Linked DNA regions of Rhinolophus ferrumequinum. The protein of the gene in region 2 purifies or fractionates together with the protein of the main gene of each other region. This does not show direct contact. Links are inferred from orthologs where the notes say so. Each region holds a gene or a part of one and is shown on either strand. Other genes may lie near its edges.

Region 1 (3,746 bases), on a different chromosome or scaffold from region 2:
GAAGTTTTTAATGCATGGTTTCTGCCCAAAGGCTTTGTGTGGATTGATTACTGGATAGGCGAGGAAGGGGCTGCCAGCAGCATCCTGAGTGGGGGTTGCTGCAAAGGAGAGGCTGTGTACTTACTACATGTGAAGTGGTCTGTGAACATGGACAACAATGATAGCTGACGTTTACGCAGAACTCATCGCAGGCCAAAAACCGGGCTACGTACTTACTTTATACCCATTGACTCATTTAATTCCTCAACATATGAAATAGCTGTTATTACCCCTAACCCCAATATTAAAGAAATTAAAGAACAGGAAATAAGTAACTTGTCCAATGTCTCACAGCTAGTAAATGGTGGAACTGGGACCTGAACTCGAATCTCTGTAACTTCAGAACCTACAAGTTCATGGTTAAATGCACTTAACATTTTTGGTATGGGAGTGGGGATAAATCTAAGAAGCAATCAGACATCTTTGAGGGGGATTCCTTTCTCACATGCAATTGGGGTCCAGAGCAGTTGATTAGGACCTTGCTTTAGAATCTCGAGGGCCTGAAGCCTCTTCCCCTGGCCCTGCCCTACCAAACCAAATGATACACATCCCTCCTCAAAATTCTCCTGGGCAGGTCCTGGCTGGAGGAAGATTACCTTTTTGCTCTGGGGACTTTTTCTTGCTTCAACCTATTCATACATCTGATCCACTAGCGTTATAGACAACATCACTAAAACAAGAAGTTAGATTTTCTTTTAGAATGGGCTAGTGGATTTAAAATCAGAGTGATGCTACACAACTCTGAATACACTAAAAACACTGAGTTTCTTAAATGGCTGAACTGTATAGTATGTGAATTATCTCAATAAAGCCGCTTATTAAAAAAATCGGAATGTATGAGTTAAATTTTGTTTTCATTGCTTTTAATGATTTCAAATGGACTCCTTGCACTACCACATGGAGAATCAGGTGCCTGGGTGAGCTCCTCTCCCATTCATTTTTTCCTTCAGTCGACATTCATGGAGTCCACCCTTGTGCCAGGCACAGAGATAACAAAAAGGGGTGGGCTCACACCCCCTTGAGGATGAAAGGCAGGTACAGAGAGGAATGCTTCTAGCCAAAGTTGAGCACTGATTCTTTGCGCTGAGGTTTTCATGACTATGTTGCAAGTTTCAGTGGTTAAAAAAAAGGTTTTCACTTTTAAATAAGGCAATTTTGTATTTTAGTAAATTACTAGTCACTGATTAATCTCAGAGCTTCAAATTCCAGTAATCGTTTATCCCTTTCAAGGAGTTTTTTTGCATATTACAAAGTGAAAAACATCAAGTTAATGTTTTTTAAAAAAAGGACCCTTATTAAAATAAGTGCCTGTTACGGGTATCTATATTCACTCCAACCTATCCTTGAGGCTTTAAACCCGCATTGGCACTCCGGTTGGTCCAGTCGAGCTAACGCGAGGAGGGTTTAAGTGGATTTACGCGTCCCCTCCCGACGTCTTTCAGCCTTAAGCATTTCGGGGCGAACTGAGAGCCTTTCAGCCTTTCCCGAGGACTGGCCGGGAAAGGGCCGGGCTGGGCGGGAGGACTTCCTGCGGCCAAGGGCGGCCGCGCTCGCAGAGACCAGAGCCGACCCAGACGGGACCCAACGTTGGTCGCCGGGCCGGCAGCGCTCACAGCCCGGATCGACGGGCGTGCTCCCGGCCCGACCGGGAAAAGCCCCGGCGGAGGCCTGGGCTGAGGGCGACTTGGTCACGTGCGGCCGGGAGGGGCGTCCGAGGCCGGGAGTCTGCTGGAATGTAGTAACTTGCAGGGGAAAGTTTCCCTTGGCGGCCGGTCCCGGGACCGGTGCGGGCGGGCGCGCAGAGGAAGGAAGAGCCTGGAGGAGGCGGAGCCGGAGAGCGGCTCGGGCGGGCGGTTCTCTCAACTTTAGTTTTGGCGTTTGAGGCGAGTTTCTGTCTCAGTCGGGCGCAGCCGCCGCCAGGGAAAAGAAAGGGAGGAAGGAAGGAACAAGAAAAGGAAATAAAAGAGAAAGGGGGAGGGGAAAAGCAACAAGCTGTCTGGCATCCGTCAAAGGAGTGAAGGAAAAAAGTTCTCAGGCGCCGCAGGTCCGGGTCTCTCGCAGCCCCTCCCGAGGCGCAGCCGCCAGACCAGTGGAGCCCGGGCGCAGGGCGGGGGCGGAGGCGCCGGGGCGGGGGATGCGGGGCCGCGGCGCAGCCCCCCGGCCCTGAGAGCGAGGAGAGCGCCGCTCCCGCCGCCCAGCGCAGCCCGGCCCGCCGCCCTCGCCGCTTCTCCGGTCTCGGCCCGTCGAGCCGGGGCGCCCGGGCGGAGCCCTCGCCCGCCTGGTCGGGGTGCGCGTCGGGGGAGGCAGAAACCATGGATCCCGGGCAGCAGCCGCCGCCTCAGCCGGCCCCCCAGGGCCAAGGGCAGCCGTCCGCGCAGCCCCCCCAGGGGCAGGGCCCACCGTCCGGGCCCGGGCAGCCGGCACCCCCGGGGTCCCAAGCGGCGTCTCAGGCCCCCCCCGCCGGGCACCAGATCGTGCACGTCCGAGGGGACTCGGAGACCGACCTGGAGGCGCTTTTCAACGCCGTCATGAACCCCAAGACGGCCAACGTGCCCCAGACCGTGCCCATGAGGCTCCGGAAGCTGCCTGACTCCTTCTTTAAGCCGCCGGAGCCCAAATCCCACTCCCGACAGGTAACCTCGCCGCTCCTCTGCCTACTTCCCCGTCGGGCGGGCCCCGGGCCCGGGGGCGGTCGGGAGCGGCGGTGGCCAGCCCTGGCCGGGAGGTGGGGGGTCCGGGAGCTCGAGCGGGGCTGGGCTCTCGCAGAGAAGTGGAGGAACCGGAGGCGTCTGCTGGGCCGCGGTCACCGGCTCCCCGCTCCTCCCGGAGTCTGGAGCCGAGATTTGTTTTTCCCCTCGGAGTTTCTCTCTGCGGTTGCAGCCCCGGGGGGCGTGCTTTCCCCCTACTTTCTTTCTTTCTTCCTGGGGTTCCCGGGAGGTTGGCGGGAGTGGCGGGGGAGGTGGGGAGGAAGGAAGGGGGTGGGGAGAGCCGGCCCGGGCCGCGGTGGGCTTGCACAATGCGCGCGCCTCCGCGCGCTCAGCACCTTCGCTCCCGCCGCCGCCGCCGCCGCCGTGGGGAGGGGGAGGGGGGCCTCTGGCATTTGTGTGTGGGTGAGTTGCCAGCGGCGGCCGAGTTTGTGAAGTTGAGCCCCGAGCCCCCTTTCCTTCGGGGCCTCTCGGTCCACTTCAGGCTCCTGGAGAGTCAAATAATTGTTCTCTTGTTTTCCAGTGTTGATTAGGGGTGGGGGTTGATCCAGTCCCTGTAGTTTCTTACTCTTTCTCCCCCTCCCCCTCCCGAAAGCATTTATTTTCCTCGCGGCCCCGGCGCTTTATGAATACAGGATCCAGACTTTCCTGGAAGTTGTTTATGGAGTTAGTGCTTTCACCCCTGTGTTTCCCTTGTGCCTTGGAACTCGGGCAAGCTCACTCTTATCAAACTTAGTAGGTTCACGTGTTGATTTCCCAATTGTAGGCTATTATTTACAGTCTGCTGAAATGCTTTTAAATTAGCCACATCTGCACGTTGCGCAGGACCTGAGCTGCGCTTTACCGTGCCTTGGTTTTAACACAAGCCTTTGAAAATACACTGCAGGTTGACTCATCGCCGAGTCCTGCCTCGTTCAACTGTGATTACAAGTTAATGTTTGGGAAGCGATGACTAATTCGAGACTCGCCATTGCTTTTTAATTCTTATTGAGGATATGAACA
Region 2 (3,746 bases):
CAACCAAAGGTTGCCGGTTCAATTCCTGCATGGGATGGTGGGCTGCACCCCCTGCAACTGAAGATTAAAAACGGCAACTGGAGTTGAGCTGCGCCCTCTACAACTAGATTGAAGGACAACAACTTGTAGCTGATGGTCCCTTGGAGCTGATGGCCCTTGGAGAAACACACTGTTCCCCTAATGAAAAAAATTTTTTAATTGCAAAAAAAAAAAAAAAACAAAAAAAGAATTACTAATACCGCTATCAGCTATAAAGATATTCAATGATGAGGAAACACTCTGCCACATGCTGTAAATTGGATCCAAGAAATTCCATAGTGTAAAATATGGGAGGCTCACTATTTCGAGGCAACTGAAAGACTGGGGTGAGCCTGCTACAGAGGGCCAGGACAGGAGCAGCCACATGATATCCAAACAGGGTGCAGGAAGCATTATTGTGGGGATTTCACTGTAATTAACGTCAATGATCACAAAATTTCTTCTGGTTTAAGGCAGAACTGATCAGTTCAAGTTAATTATACCAAATCATTTCATCAGTTCCCTCATGACAACAAATACTCACAAATTAGAGATATACTTACACTTAAATTGTCAAAGTTCATCATTTGTATTTGTTAAAATGTTGAAAGCTATTCACATTAGAAACATTTCTGAGTTTTGCACTGTTTCATGTCAATCCAGAGAACACGGATCAATCAACAGTATGGAAATAAAATATAATCTATACAAAATTTTTAAATTGTAACCTTAACAATCCAATTCCAAAATAGGACCCTTATTGTTCCTTTGTGGTTGTCATTCCCAACAGTAAACAAGCAATACAAATATCTGCTTAGAACAGTGTAAGTGCTCCATCAATATTTGTTGAATTAACGAATGAATGGCAATTAAAGCTGGAGGATTCTCAAGACAGAAGGTTACTGAATAAAAGGAATTTATTAAAATACTCAGCCTGACTCAAGCAGGATCCCCTCATTAAATCCTGTCACATATGATTTCATTACTTGTTTTCATTACTATTGCTTTTAAAAAGTTACGAGAAATAATCATACCATTTCCTTTGTTAGCTTCTCCACACTATAACTCAAAAGCATTTAAAAATCACTTTGAAAGAATAAACCCAAAGTGCTGCTAACATTTATGTTCAGATTTCTGCCACTCCCTATTTTCTAAAGATGTGTATAGGCCATATTGTTGTATAAAACATAAATACTAGGACAATGAATACAAGTAAAATTACAATTAAGTTTACATATTATCACCACTAATTAACATTTAATCAATTCAGCATCGTGATTGGTGCTTGTAATGGAAGTGAATTATGTCCACACGATTCCACTTCAAAATCACTAAGAATATTATATTAGTTCACAATGAACCTTGTACCTGTCCATGCTTATTTTAACAATAAACTATTTACAATAATATTTAAGTTGAAGAAAAGGCAAATACCAAAACTCGTAAAATCTTTTAATTACACATTTGTGAAAATTATTCAACTACTAAGCCCCTTTTCTGTGCAAAGAACTATACTAAACACAAAAAAAGTAAATGTACACATGAACAGCAAGTTAAAGGGGGAAACTTCTAGTGCAAACTAAAGTACCAAAAGTTTAAAGAAACTGCAGTTTCCTGTAAGATATAAATTTAAAAAGAAAAAAGTTTTCGCGTTTTAAATTCCACACGCATTAGTTACATTATTAAAATCGACTTCATTTCCAAAACAGCAACAAAAACTCATAGCTTATAAAAAAGGGTTAGGATTTACCCGCCACCAGTTTTCCCAATAACTACTTTCATTTCCCCATATTTAATACAAAAGAACACTGAAATGGTATAAAAGTGTGCAATAATTTATCGGGATTATGTATCAATAAATCGGCGGTCTACAGCAAGCTTGACAAATAATACCACATGCCGATTTTTTATTCAGAGTGATTGATTGTAAAGAGACGGGGCGGGGGCAGGGGGGAGCCGGAGATACGAGTTCAACTGTACACATACACCTCCCTAAAAGCGAAAGGGGTATTTTACTTTCTTTCCACTATTGTATTATTACAAACAGCCCCTAAGCTTTAGATACTGCTGTGACAGAGTGCGTGTCATCCAGGCTGAGTGGATTCGAGCAAAAGATGTCACTCAAATGCAAGTAAAAGTACGGTCCTGCGACTTATTTCGAGTTTTCTTTGCAACAGTAACCTAAGGCTGCTCCTTAGTGACTTAAGTCTAAAAACCAGAAAACCAGCAAGCCTCCCCGCCCTCCGTGGTCAATCAAGCTAAGAAAGCAACCTTTGAAAGCAAGGGGGAAACGGGGCACCCCCAAATCTTGGTGCTTGCTCCGGGCAGAGAGGCCCCCGCAGTGCTTAGATGCCTCTGCCACCCCGGGGGCCTCCCGAAGTCCCCTGGCTGCTTCTTGGGGCGACAAGGGCCCCATTCCACCGCCGGCGCGGTCCAACCCAGGAGATTAACCCCTTCGTGCCCTCCCACGTCCTCTCCGAGAGGGCCCGGACGCCCCCTCTCCACTGTTCCCTCGAGAGGGGGGCCCAGCGGGATCTGGCGCGGGTCGAACCGGGGCTGTGGGAGGCCGAGAGTCGGAGGCGGCGGGAGGCTCGGGGCCTACTCCCGGGCAGCGTGTCCCGGCGCCCTCCCCCACTCCCACACGCTCGCTCCCGGCCAGGGTGCGGGTGCTCGCCCGCCGCCCGCCCCGGAGCCCGCCCGCCAGCGGCTCAGGGCCCCTTCCTGCCGAGGGCACGGGCCGGCGGCTACCTGTGGACCGTGGAGGGCCATGGCGGCCCGTTTCAATGAGCCTCCACGCTCGTCCGGCTCCTCACGCTGCTACCCCTGTCGCCGCCATCTTCTCGCTCGCACATACACACTCGCATCGGCCGCCGCGCCTGCGCACTGGCCACGCGCCGCGGGGCGCGGAGAGGCCGGGCGCGCCGCGTGCGCGCTGCGCATGCGCGGCCGACAGGTGGGCGTGCGCGGCGGGAGCCGGCCCTGGGTGGACTCTGAGCCCGCTTTTCTGCCGCGGATGCGGGCCTGCTGTGCGCCGAGGACGAACCCCTGGACCCCGGCTGCGATGCCGGAAGAGGAAAGGGCAGGGGATGGAGGTGATAACGCCAAAACGCCCCGCAGGCCTGGGTTTCTCACCTGCGGGAGGCCACCTAAGTGCTGGGCGGAACTCGGGACGTCGGGAGCCCGGGAACCGCGGCCCTGAGGTCGGTCCGGGTCCCCCGAACCACAGGGTCTCCTTAACCCAGGGTCTCCGAAGTGACCGCTGAGTTTCCGGAGGAGTCCCCTGGTGTATGGAGATCACATTTCCTTTTATTCATTCACTTATTCACTCTTCATTCATTCCACCTACCCGGTGCCACGCCTTTTGCCAGGCATTGGAGAATATTAAAAACCAAACCAACCAACGCACTTGTAAAGCTCATAGCGTTGAGGCCTGGCATAGAATAAGCACGCTCAATTACCTATTACACACATACTACATGTATCTAGCTAGACCAGCTTTTGGGTCATTGGTTCAAGAGACAGTGAGCCCCCTACCTGACCACGCAGTTTACCATCTGGTTTGGCACGGTTTCTAACCTCAGTGATCCCAGGCAAGCTACTTCTTTTTCCTAAGTTTTTGGTTTCTTCACCTACAAATGAGACCAATAAAATGTCTCGTAAGATTTCTTTGAGGATCAAATTAGGGGAGTGTGAGCACACTGGCCAAGAGAGCCAGCCCTCAGTGAAAA

Evidence for each region. The genes of interacting proteins can lie anywhere in the genome.
Region 1: the proteins of USP10 (region 2) and YAP1 purify together in Homo sapiens (affinity purification with western blotting; 4 studies listed by BioGRID). This does not show direct contact. The link is inferred for Rhinolophus ferrumequinum from reciprocal best matches to the Homo sapiens genes USP10 and YAP1.

The regions. Positions count from the first base shown.
Region 1 is NC_046294.1:71,674,225-71,677,970, forward strand, and holds the start of YAP1 (transcriptional coactivator YAP1), read left to right. Parts: upstream 1-1,442; 5' UTR 1,443-2,133; exon of another isoform or gene 2,134-2,253; 5' UTR 2,254-2,351; coding exon 2,352-2,672; intron 2,673-3,746. Other genes in the region: CFAP300 (cilia- and flagella-associated protein 300), read left to right, coding at 1-168. UniProt on the Homo sapiens protein: Transcriptional regulator with dual roles as a coactivator and corepressor. Critical downstream regulatory target in the Hippo signaling pathway, crucial for organ size control and tumor suppression by restricting proliferation and promoting apoptosis.
Region 2 is NC_046298.1:30,044,609-30,048,354, reverse strand, and holds the start of USP10 (ubiquitin carboxyl-terminal hydrolase 10), read right to left. Parts: upstream 2,901-3,746; 5' UTR 2,788-2,900; coding exon 2,767-2,787; intron 1-2,766. UniProt on the Homo sapiens protein: Hydrolase that can remove conjugated ubiquitin from target proteins such as p53/TP53, RPS2/us5, RPS3/us3, RPS10/eS10, BECN1, SNX3 and CFTR.